Linked DNA regions of Ovis aries. The main gene of each other region encodes a partner of the protein of the gene in region 4 in a complex. Links are inferred from orthologs where the notes say so. Each region holds a gene or a part of one and is shown on either strand. Other genes may lie near its edges.

Evidence for each region.
Region 1: the proteins of GNAT1 (region 4) and RHO are in contact, whole or in part, in a cryo-EM structure (PDB 6OYA), measured with the Bos taurus proteins. The link is inferred for Ovis aries from reciprocal best matches to the Homo sapiens genes GNAT1 and RHO. Residues at the interface, in NP_851365.1 of Bos taurus: Ala27, Arg28, Asp189, Leu190, Val312, Glu314, Tyr316, Asp333, Ala334, Asp337, Ile340, Lys341, Asn343, Leu344, Lys345, Asp346, Cys347, Gly348, Leu349, Phe350; in NP_001014890.1 of Bos taurus: Leu72, Arg135, Val138, Val139, Lys141, Ser144, Asn145, Phe146, Arg147, Val230, Ala233, Gln236, Gln237, Ser240, Thr242, Thr243, Lys245, Ala246, Glu249, Val250, Met253, Met257, Asn310, Lys311, Gln312.
Region 2: the proteins of GNAT1 (region 4) and UNC119 are in contact, whole or in part, in a crystal structure (PDB 3RBQ), measured with the Homo sapiens proteins. The link is inferred for Ovis aries from reciprocal best matches to the Homo sapiens genes GNAT1 and UNC119. Residues at the interface, in NP_000163.2 of Homo sapiens: Gly2, Ala3, Gly4, Ala5, Ser6, Ala7, Glu8; in NP_005139.1 of Homo sapiens: Asp87, Phe88, Val89, Arg90, Phe91, Ile105, Lys106, Lys107, Gly126, Arg127, Phe128, Val129, Tyr131, Phe137, Val147, Glu163, Leu172, Ser218, Tyr220, Asn230.
Region 3: the proteins of GNAT1 (region 4) and PDE6G are in contact, whole or in part, in a cryo-EM structure (PDB 7JSN), measured with the Bos taurus proteins. The link is inferred for Ovis aries from reciprocal best matches to the Homo sapiens genes GNAT1 and PDE6G. Residues at the interface, in NP_851365.1 of Bos taurus: Ser140, Arg201, Arg204, Lys205, Trp207, Ile208, Phe211, Asp227, Val229, Glu235, Val236, Asn237, His240, Glu241, His244, Leu245, Ser248, Ile249, Ile281, Phe283, Glu305, Leu306, Met308; in NP_776846.1 of Bos taurus: Arg36, Gln37, Phe38, Lys39, Ser40, Lys41, Pro42, Pro43, Lys45, Leu60, Val66, Ile67, Cys68, Pro69, Trp70, Glu71, Phe73, Asn74, His75, Leu76, Glu77, Leu78.

The regions. Positions count from the first base shown.
Region 1 is NC_056072.1:56,173,730-56,177,687, forward strand, and holds the end of RHO (rhodopsin), read right to left. Parts: intron 3,399-3,958; coding exon 3,233-3,398; intron 3,115-3,232; coding exon 2,875-3,114; intron 2,065-2,874; coding exon 1,954-2,064; 3' UTR 528-1,953; downstream 1-527. UniProt on the Homo sapiens protein: Photoreceptor required for image-forming vision at low light intensity. Required for photoreceptor cell viability after birth.
Region 2 is NC_056064.1:19,957,783-19,962,132, forward strand, and holds the start of UNC119 (protein unc-119 homolog A), read right to left. Parts: upstream 2,855-4,350; 5' UTR 2,788-2,854; coding exon 2,568-2,787; intron 1-2,567. UniProt on the Homo sapiens protein: Involved in synaptic functions in photoreceptor cells, the signal transduction in immune cells as a Src family kinase activator, endosome recycling, the uptake of bacteria and endocytosis, protein trafficking in sensory neurons and as lipid-binding chaperone with specificity for a diverse subset of myristoylated proteins.
Region 3 is NC_056064.1:50,649,860-50,653,928, reverse strand, and holds the start of PDE6G (retinal rod rhodopsin-sensitive cGMP 3',5'-cyclic phosphodiesterase subunit gamma), read right to left. Parts: upstream 2,856-4,069; 5' UTR 2,800-2,855; intron 1,369-2,799; 5' UTR 1,271-1,368; coding exon 1,125-1,270; intron 665-1,124; coding exon 624-664; intron 176-623; coding exon 99-175; 3' UTR 1-98.
Region 4 is NC_056072.1:50,208,420-50,212,531, forward strand, and holds the start of GNAT1 (guanine nucleotide-binding protein G(t) subunit alpha-1), read right to left. Parts: upstream 2,849-4,112; 5' UTR 2,718-2,848; coding exon 2,612-2,717; intron 1,422-2,611; coding exon 1,379-1,421; intron 1,242-1,378; coding exon 1,100-1,241; intron 1,010-1,099; coding exon 852-1,009; intron 759-851; coding exon 630-758; intron 369-629; coding exon 239-368; intron 1-238. UniProt on the Homo sapiens protein: Functions as a signal transducer for the rod photoreceptor RHO. Required for normal RHO-mediated light perception by the retina.

The DNA.
Region 1 (3,958 bases), about 6.0 Mb from region 4:
GGGCAACAGCAGAGATCCCAGCTATTACCTGCCCCAGCCCCTCCATGACAAGAAGGATCTCCCTTCTCAGACTCCTGCTGCCTTTTCCCGCCTTGGAGGAGGATGGTCATTCGGGAGCTACCCCTTCATCCCATTCCCCCTTCAGATGAGGTCCCTGGTAGGGCCAGCCCGGAGCTGAGGCTCCAGTAATGCAAAAAAGCCTCTCATCATCTGCTGAGCTCAGGAAGCACGTTGGCTGCATAAAGCCTGAAATCTCATAAAGGTCAGTTTTAAGATCCCCTTTTGCAGATAAGGAGGCTTCCAAGAGGTGACAAAATTTGCCTGCAGTTTCACAGGCCACCTGGATCTCTGTGACTCTGAGGTTGGAGCTTTTCCCATTCCTGGGCTTGCACTCCCAGGGGGCTCTGATAGTTGCTCAAACCCAGAAACCCCAGGGTTAAGGATCAGATGAACACTGCCCCGTTTCTACCCATCCTGTAGATAAAGAGCTTGAGACTGACAAAAACCACCACCACTAACACCAAGGATAGGAGCCGAGCTTTTAATACCCCAATTTGCCTTCATCTCCAGGCAGAGCTGGGGAGAGGTAGAGCTTCCCGCTTTGGTATGTAGTTGAGGAGGGGCATTTATGAGGCGGCTGGATTCTGATGTCCCAGAGTCCCAGCCAGCCTCGCAGCAGCAAGGACTCTCTGGAGTGGAGAACGGACTGGAGCCGCTGAAGGCTTGCCCAGCAAGGGAGCTAAAATCTGTGATCTGTGAACTTCCCTGGGGGAAGGTGGGTCCAGCTGGATTTCCCACACTTTTGTTTTTTAAGCTCTTTTTGAGACAAAGGTGATGTTGGGGACCCAGCTCTTCGTTAAATGTGGGCAGGTGAACATAACTTCTAGAAGCTCCATACGGGCCCAGAGATGCTGAAGCCTGGGTGCTGGGCAGGAGAGCTAGTGGTTTTTCAGATGCCGAGAGCAAGACCTGTCTCTCTGTGGGTTGCACTGGAAGGGAATGGCCCGCGTCATGGGGGCTCTGCACTGGCCCCAGACTCTGGTCCTCTGATGTTGTTTTCTTGTGTTTTTGTTTTCTTCTCAGGCCTGATGACTGCACTCTGCATTTCCTTGACTGTCCTTCCCTGTGGCCCACCACCCAGCGCTGGTCTGGCCTTGCTGTCTGTCTAATGTTTATAAGCCTGATGAGGCTGGATGCTTAGGGCTTTGCCCAATCTCAAAATGGTCGCTATCAAGAGGAGATGATCATAGGAATGAATTACTTATATTAATTGATATTATTCATAATGTTAACTACAGTCTGTCCAGCTCCTTACTATTTACAAAGAGCTCACACACGCAAGCACACGTGCACACACACACACACACACACACACACAATCTCATTTGATCTTCCCAGCAGCCATGTGAGGAGAGATTTGGAATTCCCATTGTATGGGGGAAGAAAGTGAGGCCCAAGGACAAAACAACTGCTCAAGGTCATCAGCCAAGGGCGAGCTGCTGCTGCTGCTAACATGTTATGAGAGAATGACTATGCCCTCCCGACCCGTTCATCTCTCCATCCACGTCTCCATTCATTCCTTCCTTCCTCCACCTAGCATTTATTAATAAGCACCTACGGCGTGCCCCGTCATGTGCTACTCACTTATCCCTAAGCTGGGACACTTTTCCAGAGCAAGAGCTCTTGTGTAGCTGAGAGATGAGCTGAGGGGAGCGGAGCTACAGTGGGCCCCCGGGAAATCAGGACTCCAGATCGGGCCGCCCCTGCCAAGTGAGGCGCCTCCTGTTTCGCTCATTGATTCGTTTGCATTTGGTTGGTTGGTTTTTGTGTTTACACTCAGGGAGCCTGTGAGAGCTGGTTCCAACAGGCGCGGCTCCGGATGGAGCTGCTGAGGCTGGGGTGGGGTGGGGGCTGGGGGACTCCTGCGGCTGGCCATGGAGTCCCTGGAGGGGCTTAGGCAGGCGCCACCTGGCTGGTCTCTGTCTTGGAGACGGTGGTGGAGGCCTCGTCATCACCCAGCGGGTTCTTGCCACAGCAGAGGGTGGTAAGCATGCAGTTCCGGAACTGGAAGGAAGAGGTAGGGTTAGGGTAGGGGTGCTCAGGGTCCCGCAGAGTCTGGGTGGGAAATGGCATTGTCAGCGCGGTGTGCCATCTCCCTCTTCTGCCTCTGGCCCTCCCAGCCTCCGATCCCCGGTCAGATGGCTGGGACCAAACCCGAAGGGACTCTGTCACTGGTGACGTGCCATGATGCCCTCAGTGTGCCAAGAGCCATCTGGAAGTTATCCCATTGAACCCAAGAGTTTAGGATTTCATCCTTTCCATGGATGAAGAAACTGAAATCCAGAAAAGGGAAGTGACTTGCCCAAGGCCACACAGCTAAAACCTAGCACAACTGGGATTTGAACCCGATCTGTCTGACTCCAGGTTTTCCCCACTGGACCAAAGAACCTGCAGAGGAACCTCTGGTCTATGTTAAAAGGACTGCTTTATCCCTTCATCCCTCAGAACGAGACTTTTTGGCATCCTGTCCAGCTTTGTGGAGACTGGCACCTGTTCCCAGGCCCGGGACTTTGACCGTCTGGACTTTCAGAACCATCTGGACTGGCGCTTCTCTTTCCTAAGCCAGTGTCAGAGGGCTTGTTAGAAATGCATATTCCTGGGCCCACCCTGAGCTTCTAATCAGAAGGTCTGGGGGTGGGTCCAGGAATCTGCATCTCTCCCGGATGACTCATGATCACCCCAGGGAAAACCAACACCCACCCACCCACCCCGCCCATTTTGCAGGTGGAAAGACTGAGGCCCGATTAAGACTGCGGCTTCTCCACCTGTCGCCTCGGGGGGAACCTGGCCCCTTCCCACCCCACCAGCAGGCACCTGCTTGTTCATCATGATGTAGATGACGGGGTTGTAGACGGAGGAAGACTTGGCAAAGAAAGCCGGGATGGTCATGAAGATGGGGCCAAAGTCGGAGCCCTGATGGGTGAAGATGTAGAACGCCACCCCGGCGTAGGGCAGCCAGCAGATCAGGAAGGCGATGACCATGATGATCACCATGCGGGTGACCTCCTTCTCGGCCTTCTGAGTGGTGGCCGACTCCTGCTGCTGGGCAGCCGCCTGCGGGGACACAGGGCCCGGTGTCCAGACTCGAGGCTCCTCTGGGCCGGGGGCCGCGCTCAGCCTCATCAACGCTCTTGTCCCCAGCCCCACAGCACCGGTCCCCCAAGGACCCTACCTCCTTGACGGTGAACACCAGCTGCCCGTAGCAGAAGAATATGACGATCAGGGGGATGGAGAAGTGGACCACGAACATGTAGATGACGAACGACTCATTGTTGATCTCCGGCTTGAGCGTGTAGTAGTCAATCCCGCACGAGCACTGCATGCCCTCCGGGATGTACCTGAGGCCCGGGAGGGGCAGGGGCCGGAGGGGCAGGGGGAGACCCGCGTGTGAGGGACCGGGGAACAGGCCCCGCTGGCCAGAGTCCTCTGCCAACGCCTGCAGCAGGGCTGCCCTCACTCTGGGCCTCACTTCCCCCCTCTGTAAAATGGGGATAATAAACCTTTCCTTGGCTGTGAGGCTCACATCTACTGAGATAAGGGATCCAAGTGTGTGGAAACAGTGTTGTTGCCTCGTTCAGCGCTGTGTTACCCTGGGACCCTGGTCTCTCCCAGTCTCTCACTCCCCGCGCCCCTACTCTGCCCCCCTGCTTCCCTGCCTGGCGCTTCTTCAGCCGGCCTACCACTCCCAAGTGGCTGGAGGCCAGGCCTCGGACCATGAGGTAGGTGGGGAGAAGGGAAAAGCTCCCAATGTCTGTATTGCAGGCACCCAGGTCTTTTTAGGCCGCTCAGGGTAATTAAGGGATTTTTGCACAGTTTCTGGAAACAAGAGGCCCTGGGGCGTGTGGTTAGGGCGTGTGATTTCAGAGGACGGTGACACTGAACCGACCCCAGGAAACCC
Region 2 (4,350 bases), on a different chromosome or scaffold from region 4:
GAGCCCAGAAGAGGAACCACGAACAGTGGTGGGCTCGGCTTGAGGAAGCTCAGAAATAGCAGGGCCTGATCCAACCCTCACCACTCTTGCAGCGGCAACTGCAAGCACTCAGGGAGGAGGCCCCAACAGCAAATAGGAAGAAACAGAGAGGTGCAGTGGGGGCTCTGGTGCCAGCACAGCATCACATCCTCCCTGCAGAGGCCCGGAAATCACCCGCTAGGCCCCTAGGCCACCACTGATTTCTCTGGGGCAGGAAGAGGAAGTGAATGTAAAGTCATTCTCTCTTCCCAAGCATGGGGCAGCCCCCTCCAGGAAGCCCTCCTGGTGGCCACCTGGCACTTGGGGTCCAGCAGGGACTACACAGGACTTATGGTGGGGCTGGAGCCCTGGCCTGCCCATCACAGCCCACGGTGGGGAGAGGAGGAATGGAAGTAGGCAGGTCCTGCCTCACCCTGGACACAACTTATTTTCACAGAAAGTAAACACTAATCCAAAGACGTAGGAGGAAAGTGCAGGGCAGAGGAGAGGAAGAGGCAGAACTCAGAACAGCACCCTAGTCGCCCAGCTCCTGGCTCCCCATAGGGTTCCACTCCTTCCCCCATTCCCTAACTTCCAGAGACTCTCCTCTCACTGGAGAACAACTGGCAGTGTGACCTCTGTCTCTTCTACTGCAAACTCAGCCTATCAATCCCTTTGTCCTTAGAGGAAGTGAGGAATGGAAGATGCCCATGGCTCAAGACACCACCTCCACTCCCTCCCCCAGCTGGAGAAGGATGATGCCTGGGACTTGGGGTCAGGCCCGATAAGGGGCAGAGTGGCTGAGGGCTCAGAATGCAACTGCTCCCTTCGCCTCAGCCACAAATAGCTTCCTAAGCTGGATTCAGGTCTGGGTAATCCAGGAAGAACAAACTCAGACCTGTGTGATTAGGGTCAGAGGAGACAGGCAGGGGTGCCAGTGGAAAGATTCCTGGAGCCCTGTTCTCAGCTTCCACAAAGAAGAGGGATCTGGTGAAGACTCTTCCTCTAATCGCCCACAGATGCTGAATCTCTAAGGGCTATGAATTTCCTCCAAATTCAGACACACAGTTGTATATGGGCTAGAAGTCCCTCTGGCTGCAAAATCACCTCGAAAGTTACCTAGGACTGGGACAAGTTAGACATCCTATAGGGAAGTTCTGCCCCAGAGCTAACCTGAATCCTAAATGCTACTGTTGCCAATTATAGCCCAACTGGCACCACCATCAGACTGGTCCAGGCACCTTCCCCCTATTACTGCCTGCTTGGGTAAGGCAGTTCAGTGCTCCGAGGGCCCAGCCAAGAATGACTGCTGCCTGGCTAAGAGAGGAGGGAGATGCTGGTCCCCTGGGGACCCAGATGCACAGGCCTAGACCTGCCATCACAGTCCCCTCCACAGCTGTTTGGAAGCCCTGGACTCTTCTGCTCCTGCAGCACCAGAGCTCAGGTCCAGTCCAGCAACTGCTCCCTACCCTCACAGGGGGACTCCAAAAGTTGCCCTCACAGAGGGAGCCAGGGCAGGGGTACTAACCAATGAGGCCAAGATAGAAGGCCACTGCCTCTCCAAGTGCCTTCTGTTCTTTCAGGCTCAGCCGCGGCCTCTGCCATGAGACTTCCCTCCCTTGTTCCCTGCCTACGGTGACCCCCTCCCCCGCCCTGAATGCCCATTTGTCTGCCTCCAGGCAGCAGCCATGAGCAGTCCTGTGGGGCCCTCAGTATTGACAAAAGAGCCCTATTTACACAGCATGCACGGCCTGCCAGGCACAGTGCAAAATCACAGGATTTATTTTCACAACAGCTCTCTAAAGTTAGGGGTCATTATTCCCATTTTACAGACGAATATGCTCAGAGAGGTGAAGTTATTAGCCCAAGGTCACACAGCCAATAGGACGGCAAAGCTGGAACTTCAGTTTGGCAATCCAGCTCAGAAACTCAACCACAGTGGTGGCTTGGCCTCCCAGAAGAGGACAGGCCCTAGTTCAGGCTAAAGGGGGTATTAACCCACTTCCTTGAGAAGCCCAGAGTCAAAGCACTGAAGCTTCCTCTTCAGGTCCTTTCCTGGAGAGAGTGATGGCCCCAGACTTCCTGGGGGTGTCCAGTGTGAAGGAGACCTAAGGGTTTTGATACCACACGTAGCCTCTAGGGTGGAGGAGACTGGGGACTGACTGCATTCAGCCCCCTCCTCATTATTGCAGAGAAGATCTTCAAAAAACTCTGAAGACTCTGTGGGGAGGGGGTCACAGTTGCAGCTGCTGCCCCACCTCCACCATGGGAAAGGGGGATGGACTCCTCAAAAAGGAAGGAAAGGGGTGGAAACGAATCTCTAAAGGGACAAGGCGAGCGCAGAGAGAGATCGAGGAAAGGGGGGACATGGAGATCTCAGGCTTGGAGGCAGAAGGGTAGAGGACACAAGAGAGGGGCACCCGGGTGGGGGAGGGGAGGCGGGGGAGGGCGGGAAAGGGGGCGGGGGCCCAGACTCTGCGCGCCCGGAGGGCCCCCTCTCGCGCTCTCTCACTCCCGCCCGCGGGTGATGCTGCCTCGCGGGTGCTCACCGCCGGTGATCCGCTGCAGCCCCAACACGTCCTCCGGCCCGATCGGCTGCTTCCTCTGCAGCGGCCCCGGCCTGGGCCCCGGGCCTGCCTCCGGCTCCGACTCGGACCCGGATTCGGATTCCGCCTGCAGCTCCGGCTTGGGCTCCACGTTCGGGCCCGAGGCCCCTGGAGCGTGCTCCGCTCCCGTCCCGGCCCCGCCGCCGCCCTTCTTCACCTTCATGGCCTCGCGGGGCCGCGGCTCGCCTGCTGCCGCCGCGGCTGCCTGCGCCGGCTGGAGCCGAGAGAAGGGGGAGCGTCCGCAGCCCCGCCCCCGGCCGGACCGGAGCCCCAGGTACCGCCCCGCCCCCGGGGTGGGCCCGGGGCTGACCCCGCCCACCGCCCGCCCACCTGGGCTACGGACCCGGGGCAGGGAGGGGGCCCGCCCGGGGACGTCGTTCATTTTTCCGGTAGGGGTTTTCAGGGTCCTGGCTACCTACCCCTTCTTATTCGCTGGCTTCCAGCCACTCCGCCCTTCCCTCTGCCCCTCGCACATGAGTTCGCGTCTCAGGGCCTGGGATGCTCTTCCCCCAGAGGTGGCCTCCTCTCGTTCTTCCGGTCTCAGCTCAAATGTCATCTGCTCAGAGGCCCTCTCAGACACCCCATCACTATCTGATCAGCCTGTTTTTTCTAATGCATCATCTGAAATTCGTTTCATTTGCTCACTGACCAGTCCTCCTACAAGACCAGTTCGGTGAAACTGGAGATCTCGTCTCTGTTCTCTAGAATACCCAGCACTTAGTCCAGTGCCCACTGCAGCTTGCACTCAACACAGTTGACCCTTGAACAACATGGGTTTGAAGTGAGTGGGTCCACCTATCTGGATTTTTTTTCAATAGAAAATACTACAATACTACACGATGGGAGGTTGGCTGAATATGTGGGTATGCAACTGCAGATAAACAAGGCCAAATATAAATTATTGTCTGAGTTTTGAATGCGCAGAGGGTAGGCATCTCACCCACTACGTTGTTCAAGGGCCAACTGTATATTCTTTTTTAGAATTTATGAATCAGTTAGTATCTGAGAGCTTACACTGCTACTCCTCTCCCAGACCCCCTGCTAGATAACCCAGGAAATTCTGAGGGACAACAGCCTACAATGTCTAGTCACCACAGGGCCCTCCAGGACAGGAAAGGTAGGAAGGGCACCTGGCTAGGTGGAAGTAAAACGGACCCAGTGAGCCGAGGAAGACAGACAGGAGGAAACCATGACTTACACACGAATGAAGAATGAAAGGTATGATCACACTTCATATCATTCCAGTTCATATTCAACCAATGTTTATTGAGAGCCTAGAATATGCCAGACACTTTCACAAGCTCATCACATTTAATCCTCACAACCACCCTGTAAGGGAGGTGTCATTAGTGCTATTTTAACAAAAGAAAAACTGAGGCTCAGAGAGGATTAAGTAGCTTATTCAAAGCTCCCCTGATATTAAGTGCAGAAGCAAGGGTTGAATTCAGACATGTTGGATCCCAAGTCCAGAACTCTCCCCACTGTACCACACTGCCTCTATAAAGGGATGAGGAAGGGAAGCTCTGCCACACACAGCATCAGGCTGCACCCACCAAGTGTAGCCACCCAGGAGGAAGGGAGAAGGCCCCAGAGATGACACGGGCCTGGCCCCTTCTAGAAGAGCAGTGCTAGGGCTCTCTCTGAGGGATCAGAGAGAAGCAGGAGGGAAGGGCCCTAGATCCCACCCAGGGCTTTTCCCTAATGCTCCCACTCAGTGCAAGAGGAC
Region 3 (4,069 bases), on a different chromosome or scaffold from region 4:
CTCTGGACTTCCCAGGGGCACAGCTCTCCTCACAGGAATCTTGAGCAGGGGGTCACGGCGGGCAGTGGAGTAGAGGGGCCAAGGGCGGGGATCCAGGGCTAGATGATGCCGTACTGGGCCAGCTCGTGCAGCTCCAGGTGGTTGAAGGCCTCCCACGGGCAGATGACGGTGATGTCTGCAGGACAAGGGGGCAGTAGGTTGAGGGTCCCATGGCTGCTGGCGCCACCATGCCCTCTGGGCCCTGTTGTCCACACCCCAGTGGTGAGGGTACAGGGTCCTTGGGCATAGAGCCCTCCTCTCAGGACACACCACCTTTGGGGGGTATCAAATGGGTTCCCTGCCCAGGAAGAGAGTGGGTGCAGCAGGCCTGGAAGAGGCGGGGTGGAAGGTGGGCCTTGCTGCTGGTGAGAGGGGTTGGGGTGGGGACAGCAAGAGCTTTGTTCCTCCCAGCCCCTCCAAGCACCCACTGAAGGAACGACCCCACTCTGAAGCTTGCAGTCGGGAAAGGGAATGAATCACAGCTAGGGGGAGGTGCCCTCTGCCTGGGGTGGGGGGCTGGGCCTCAGGCACTCTGGGTGGTGGGCGAGCAGGGGGACCTAGGTGGACACTTGTGGTTGTCATACCTGTTCCCAGGCCTTCCATTCCAGGGATGTCATCACCAAACCTGCAAGGACAGAGCAGTCAGGGCCGGTGGCCAGGAAGAGAGGAGGGGTGTGGGGGACGTGCGTGTACTTGAGTGCAGGTTCCTGGGAACGTGGTGTGTCTGAGTGTGTCCTGGGTGTGTACAGATAGGGCTGCGTGTGTGGAGATGCACATCAGTTAGTGGGGTGCTGGTTGAGTGTCTGGGTGATGGCGTGGATGGGTGTGCTTTCCAGACCTTTCAGCAATAACAGCTAAAAAGGACACCCCTCCCCATCCCCAGGGAATGGGGACCCTGAGACAGGCCAGCTCAAGCCCCCAAGAACTGCCCCACCAGCTTAGGAGGATGGGATTGCCTTCCACCAGAAAAGGGTGGTGTGAGGCCCCACCCAGCCCCCCACCTGCAGTGCAGCCCCCCTCCCTCCTGTACAGCTGGTGGGCCCTCCACCCCCTCTCAGAGCCACCCCTCCCACAGCTCTGCTTACCCTTGGACACCTTTCTTGGGGGGCTTGCTCTTGAACTGCCTGGTTTGCCGCTGCTTAAATTTCGGGGGCCCTTTCCTGGGAGTGACGGGTCCCCCCATCACCCTGGTGGCCGACCGGATCTCGGCCTTGGGTGGCTCCAGGTTCATGGCCAGGTTGGCAGAGATCCCGCAGCGACCTTCAGCTTCTGGACTGCCCCACGCTCTGGGCCCTCCTGCTTCCGACCCTCCTCGCCAATCTCAGCTCCCTGGAACAGAGGAAACCCTGCAATATGAGACCCACCGGTTCCCAGTAGGACTTGGATGGCAGTCCCCTGACCCGGGGAGCCTCTGCCAACTGCACTTGGGGCCCAAATGAGGACCGGGAAGGGGGTGAGAGCGCTGGGTGGTCCCCAGGGGCAACCTCCTTATGGCTTCCTCCTTCTGCATTCCCCATCCCAATCTCTGGGGTGGAACACTCAGCCTCATTTATGGTGGCATGTTGGGCACCCAATGGCGCCTAAAAGTAGCCTGAGAAATGGGAGGGCAGGGGAGGGGCCTGTGTCACAATGAAACCCCCAACCGGGCTGTGTAGCCTTGGTTCCAGCAGCGTCTTCCCTCTGTTGGTAAACATAACCCCTCCACCTGCCACCACTCGCTAGGTGCCAGCATCACCTGCTGGTGTCCTTGAACCCACCGCATGGAGTGGCCTCCCTTCCTCCTCTCCCCCAGAGCTTCCCCCTGGATGCCCTAAGCCCTGGTGACCTTGGCCACGGGAAGCTCACCTTCCTTTAAGCCTATTAGCACCAGGGGTAGACTAATCTCTCAGGAAGCACTGTGAGCCCAGAAGGTTCTGGGGCTAAGTACATGACACAGCCAGGAGCCGTAGCTACCCTGGCACTGGATGCCCCAGGCATCACCTCTTGGGGCCCCTTTTCTTGTCCCCCATTTGTGGGCTGCAATGCCTGACTTCTGTCTGGGGCCACTACCCACTGCCTGCTAGAGTTTAAGGGCTGAGACCAGTTGGGAGGCAAGGACAGCTGGTTCTGTCAAGACCAGCGAGGAAGGCCTGGCCATGAGGACCAGGGCACCTAGAGTTGGATGGGCCCTGCTGTGGACCTCCCCTCCCTAAGTTTTGGCCTCTGTGCTGGGACCAGCATCAGCCTGAGAGGAACCGGGGGTCAGGGGCCAGATCTACACTGGGTTCAAGGTGGACAGCGGCAGGTCTGGTGGCCCTGGTGGCTCAAACCCCACAACACCCACTCCTCACGGCCCAGGCACTGTAGGCCCAGCCAGACCCTTTCCCCAGTTCCAGGCCATGGGCCTGGTGCGGGCAGTTCTTAGACCTGATGGAGCTCCAACTATCAGATGCTACCCCATGGAAACCGCTGCCTGAGCTTCCCTGGCTCCAGCCTGGCCTGTAGCTTGTGCCCATTTAGGTTGGTTGAGTGTGTGTGGCCTGAAGCTCCGAGACCATTGCTAGCCTCGGGGACAGCCTGCACCACCGTCTGACATGGGGAGCAGAGGATGTGATAGGCTGGGCATCCTCTCTGAACAGGGTTGTGGGTGGCTTCCCATAGACCCAGACCTCAGGACGGTGGTGAAAAGCCCACCAGCTCCCCACCCTCTGGACAGATACCCACTAACACCCTTGGGTAAGTGGCCACCGGGAAAGGCAACCTGAGAAGGTCGCTACTCACCAGGTTCCAGGGCAGCAGGTCTCAGGGGACCATGGGTGTGAGTGGCAGGCCTCCCTCAGCAGGGCGCTGGCTGGGCATTTATCCTGCAGCTGGATAAGCTGATTAGGACTGTGCCTGACACCACACTAATGAGATTGTGGGGTTGGGTAGCACTACCGAGGACTCCCCCGAGATGGGGGAAGGGGCTCAGGTGTGGTCAAGGGAAGGACAATCTGGGGACAGGGTCAGGGCAGGCAAGGGATGTATGATCATGAACAACCAGCCTCTCCTGAAGCTGCTTGTTTTTTAAAAAAATATTTATTTGCTATGCTGGGTCCTAGTTGTGGCATGCGAGATCTGAAGTTGCAGCATGGGAACTCTTAGCTGTGGCATGTGGGATCTAGGTCCCAGATCCGGGGTTGAACCCAGGCCCCCTGCATTGGAAGTACGGAGTCTTAACCCCTGGACCACCAAGAAGTCCCTGAAGCTGCTCATTTTTGAAGCAAAGATGATACGGCACTGGCTGCCATCTCAGGCCTCTCTCCACTTTCAGTCCTGACTGCTGAGGAACCCCTTTCTGGCCCCCAAAGCCAGGTAGCCTGGTCCTGATTCACTTTGGTGGCCTCACCTCTCATCCCTCCCTCCTGCTGTGTGTTCTAAGGAACTCCTTCCACCCAAGGGCCTTTGCACCTGCTGTTCCCACCAAGTGGTGCATTTTCGACATCTCTCCCCTTCCCCTAGCTTCCTCCTCCTGGGACTTCACAAAGATCAACCCCAGGTTCATATACACATAGAAAATCTTTCTTTTTTTTCATAAATATGTTTTATTGAGAAAAGTACAGTAAACTTCTTCTTACATCTCTGAGATTAACTATCTCTATGTTGTAGACCCCTTTGGGGCCTCAGGCCCACTAAGGTCTGTTGTGCTTTTGTCTCCAGGGAAATCTTTTCCTGGGCCATTTTCAAATCTGTAGTACATGATTGAAGTAGATGGTCTCTAACATAAAGTGTAACAAACCTGTATTGCTACTATCATGTTTCTCTGAAAAAACCACAACTGCTTCTGGATATCATTAGCTGGCCAAGACAGCTGGCACTACTGGGTATATCCTCAGGCATTAGCACAGCAGCATGTCTTGTGGCTGTGTCGTTTCATTCTTTTGTCCACAGATCTGCCTTTGTGGAAAATGCTGGCTTTACACTGAAGGCCTCTACCTGGGAAGGCCTGTTTTATCAGCTCAACTCCTTCATGACGTCAGATCACAACCCTAGCTTTTCTTTTAAATGAGGA
Region 4 (4,112 bases):
CCCAACCTGCTCTCTGGGCTCCGGGTCCCCACTCAGACAGCTCCAAGACTCTCCTTCTCCTCCCACTCACCCACTCTCCCTCATCTCCTGATGAGGAGGCTGCCTCGTCTCCTCCTGCAGAGGGCTCTGGGACGAACACCCTCTCTCAGATGCTCCCAGCGGCCCGCCTGCAGCGCCGGCTCCCCTTCCTCCTCTCCCCCTCCCCGCTCAGTCGCCCAGGCCCGGCCCAGACGCTCACCACTTCGTCATCCTCCACCAGCACCATGTCGTAGGCGCTCAGCGCCGCGATGAAGATGATGCAGGTCACCCCCTCGAAGCAGTGGATCCACTTCTTGCGCTCTGAGCGCTGCCCGCCCACATCGAACATCCTGCGGGGCCGTGAGCACCGGAAACCCGGGCATCAAGTCCCCCGGAGACGCCCACGGGCATCCCCTGGCTTCCTGATGCTGGCTGGGAAGCACCCAGATGGGCCTGGCATCCGGAGGGACCGGACTTCTCTGCCGGTGGGGTGCTGGAGAAGTGGCAGGGTCTCTAGAAGGGCTGGGACCTCTGAGACCAGCAGGCCTCGGGCAGTGAACTTGGGGAAGGCCTCCCCACTCCAGAGCAGGAATCAGGGCTCAGTGTCCTACCGAAAGTTGAGGTCCTTGAAGGAGAACTGCGTCTCAATGATACCCGTGGTCTTGACACGGGAGCGCAGCACATCCTGTTCCGTGGGCACGTAGCCCGGGGTTACCAGGCGCTCCAGGTCTGAGAGATAGCTGTGGGAGATACGGGGTGTGGGTAGGGTTGGGTGGAGGGATGTGCCAGGGCCCTGCCTGCCCTCCACCCCTGCACCTGGCCTGTGCTCTCACTAGCCAGCAGAGTCGTTGAGCTGGTACTCCGAGGCTCGCTCGAAACAGGCCTGGATGCCGGAGTCCTTCCACAGCCGCTGGATGATATCTGACATCTCCTTGGGCATCGTACCCTCCTCGATGGTGTCTGCCATGTGCATCAGCTTCCGGGCGTCGTCCTGAGAGCAGGGGAGTGGTTGGCGGTAACCAGGGGCTGGGGCCCAGCCTCGGATCCCCAGAAGCCCTGTTCAGCTAGTCTCTTGGCACACCTGGCGCGCAGAGTCTCCGTACTGGATGTTGAGCGTGGTCATGGCACGCACGATGGCCAGGATGGACTGTAGCGTGTTGCCATAGATGATGGCAATGAACTCGAGACACTCTTCCAGTGAGTACCCGTCCTGGTGGATAATCCTACAGCCACAGGAGCTGGGTTAGCACCTCTTGGGTGGGTCGGGGATCAGACCTCCAGAGCACGCCCACCCCCAGGGCCTCGGTAGGGCAGGGGCACCACCCACCCCCAGGGCCTCAGGTAGGGTGGGGGCACTCACTTCATCTGCTTGACAATGGTACTCTTCCCGGATTCACCGGCACCTGGATTGGAATGGAAACCCGGCCTCGGAGATCCGCAGACCACACTGTCCCCTCTATCCCACCCGTTTCCCTACCACACTCCCAAAATAACGTCCTAATGCTCCGGCAGCAAAACCTAAATGTCAGGAGTGACCAAAGTGGGCTGACGAGGCTAATGGACAACCTCAACTCTGTCCTGGAGCCTCCAACACCTTGTAGGCTGTCTTATTTTTCGGAGGCCAAAAATAAAGAAACCTGGAGCTCCACCTTGTGGACGGTTCTGGTACTACGCGCATGGGATTATTTGAGCCAGGTCAACCCCTGCTTTTCCACCTGAGGTGGAAGGGAGTGACCCCAAGAGGCTCAGAGGGAATTAGCACGTTTTGCTGGGGGAGAAGACAGAGCTGACAGTCCTTCTGAGCCTGCTCTCGTGTGGGTGTCGGGCGCAGTTAATGGGATTTCTGGCTTAGCCTGTCTTTCCTGGGGTACTCTGGTTTGGTCTCTTTACACACATTCACCTGTCTGGCTGAACCCTGGACAGCCTTGGTGAAGCCTGAGGTGCCTTCTCAAAGCAGTTCCTTCCTTCGGTGGTGGTGGCAGGAGGAAGTACTAGATCAGACCTATGTCCCCTCACTACCCATGGGACCAAGTATCTATTCTCCGCTGGGCCTTAGTAGCCCTCTACACCTTTCAGTTGTCCTGCAGGTCTGCCAGCAATGAAGCTCTGGAAACTGAGGGCCACTGTGTGTGGACCTGGGAGGTCCTGGAAGCTACCTACTCTCAGGAGGACTGTGACCTTCTCCTTCCCAAGGCAGCAGCCTTGTTGTGGTGCTCCCAATGAGGCCCCTGGCTTCTGAGCCCTGCCCAGCAGGCCCGTCAAGCTAAAGGCTGCAGTTTGAGGGAACATAGCCTGGGCAAAAGTGGGCCTTGAACACACGTCTCTCAAAAAAGTGTGATTGGCACACACATCTTGGGAGGGGAGGTTGCCTGAGGTTTGAGCCCTCCAGAGAGGGTTTCTGTGGGATACCTAGCCTTAGGGAGCCAAAAGTATCGCCCATCAGGCCTGGTCTTGCTTGGCCTGGACTCCACTCTGTTGCTAGGCTGTAGGCTCATTCTGTTTCCCAAATCACACCTGCTTCACAGAAGGGCCACCTGCTTGCCCCCAGGCCTCTGACTGGCAGATGTGGCCCCTCCTCAGCCCACCCCCTTACCCAGAAGCAGCAGTTTCACGGTTCGAGCATCTTTCTCAGCATCTTCTTTCAGCTTCTTTTCCAGCTCCCTTGAGTGCTTCTCCTCAGCGCTGGCCCCAGCCCCCATGGTCCTGGCAGGAGGTGAAGGAGGAGGGCCGTGAGTTGGTTCTTCCGGATGGAGGGGTTCCCCAGAGCCAGGCTCGGGCTAGCCTCTGGCCTCCTCGGACACCCTTCTGACCCCCGAACTGGGAATCCAATGGCTGTCTGCAGATCTGTGCAGGGCCTGGTGGGGCTGCTTAGTAGGATTTGGGGGTTGTTGGTATCTAAGAGCCAATCAGAGACAAGGACAGGTGAATCCAGCTCAGCCCCCAGCCCTCCTAATCAGGCTGGCATAGCCCCAATCCCTCAACTGCTGACTCTGCACCCCCCTCTCTGCCGCTCCCCAAACCCTCTGGGAGAGACCCTGGAGGTAGTCCAGCCCTTGCTCCAAAGCAGGGGGACAAGTTCTGGGGGGTTCAGGCTCAGAAAGGGGAAGAGAGGGCCTCAGTTCTGGGGGTGGGGGTAATGAGGGGTGGGCCTGGGAGCAGGGAGGAGGAGAAGCCTGCAAGGAGCACCTGCCCACTGCCTAGTACTGGGCTCAGCACTGCTCCTTGCCGAGCTCACAGCAGCCTGGCGGATGCCCCACATCCCTGCACCGATGAGGAAGCGGAGGCTCAGAGGATCACACTGCAGGAGGTGGTTGAGAAGGGCCGGTGACTCCAGGCCAGGGTTCCACGCTCAACAGGGAGTCAGGAAGGAAATGTGGACATTGCATTTGCCCTGTGCCAAGGGCTGGATCCAACCCGGTGAGGCCTCTCCCTGCCTCCATGATTCATACAGACTTGGGTGCGTGTGCGTGTATCCTGTACTGGTGTCAAGCAAGGCAATGACATATGTTTGTGTATACCTGCGTGTAAACATGTGCCTGTGGTTTCATGAGTACAAGTGTATGTCTGTGTTTGCCTGTTTGTGTACCACGTGTGTGTGTGCATGGATGTTTTGGTGCACTTCTTATGTGTGTGTTTATATGTGTACTTTGCTACGCTTACGTGGGTTAATGTTGCATGTGTGTGAATGTATAAGCGCATGCACATGTGAAATGCGTGTGTGTGGACTTGCCTGTGTGCACGTATCTACCTGTATGTGTGCACACTTGCACGTGTGTGTACCCATAAACTTGAGGTCAGCAGTCTGACCTGCAGACGTGGCCAGGCTCTTCCAGGGAATATCTTGCAGGCCTGTTATCAGATGGGAACACTGAGTCTCAGAGCAGGTCTGGCATTCCCAGGGGAGGAGGGGATGAGCCCCACTCCTCTTCTGTCCCCTGTGGGTGCTCTAGGAGCTGTCAGGGGTATCTCCAGGGCATGCCTGCCTCAGCTTAGGGGTTAGATGTCTGTGAGGTTAGGATGGGACAGGGTGTGCTCCTAAGTGGGAGTGGTTCAGCTGAGCAAGTGGTGTTGAGTTGCAGCCTCTGGAGTTTTGC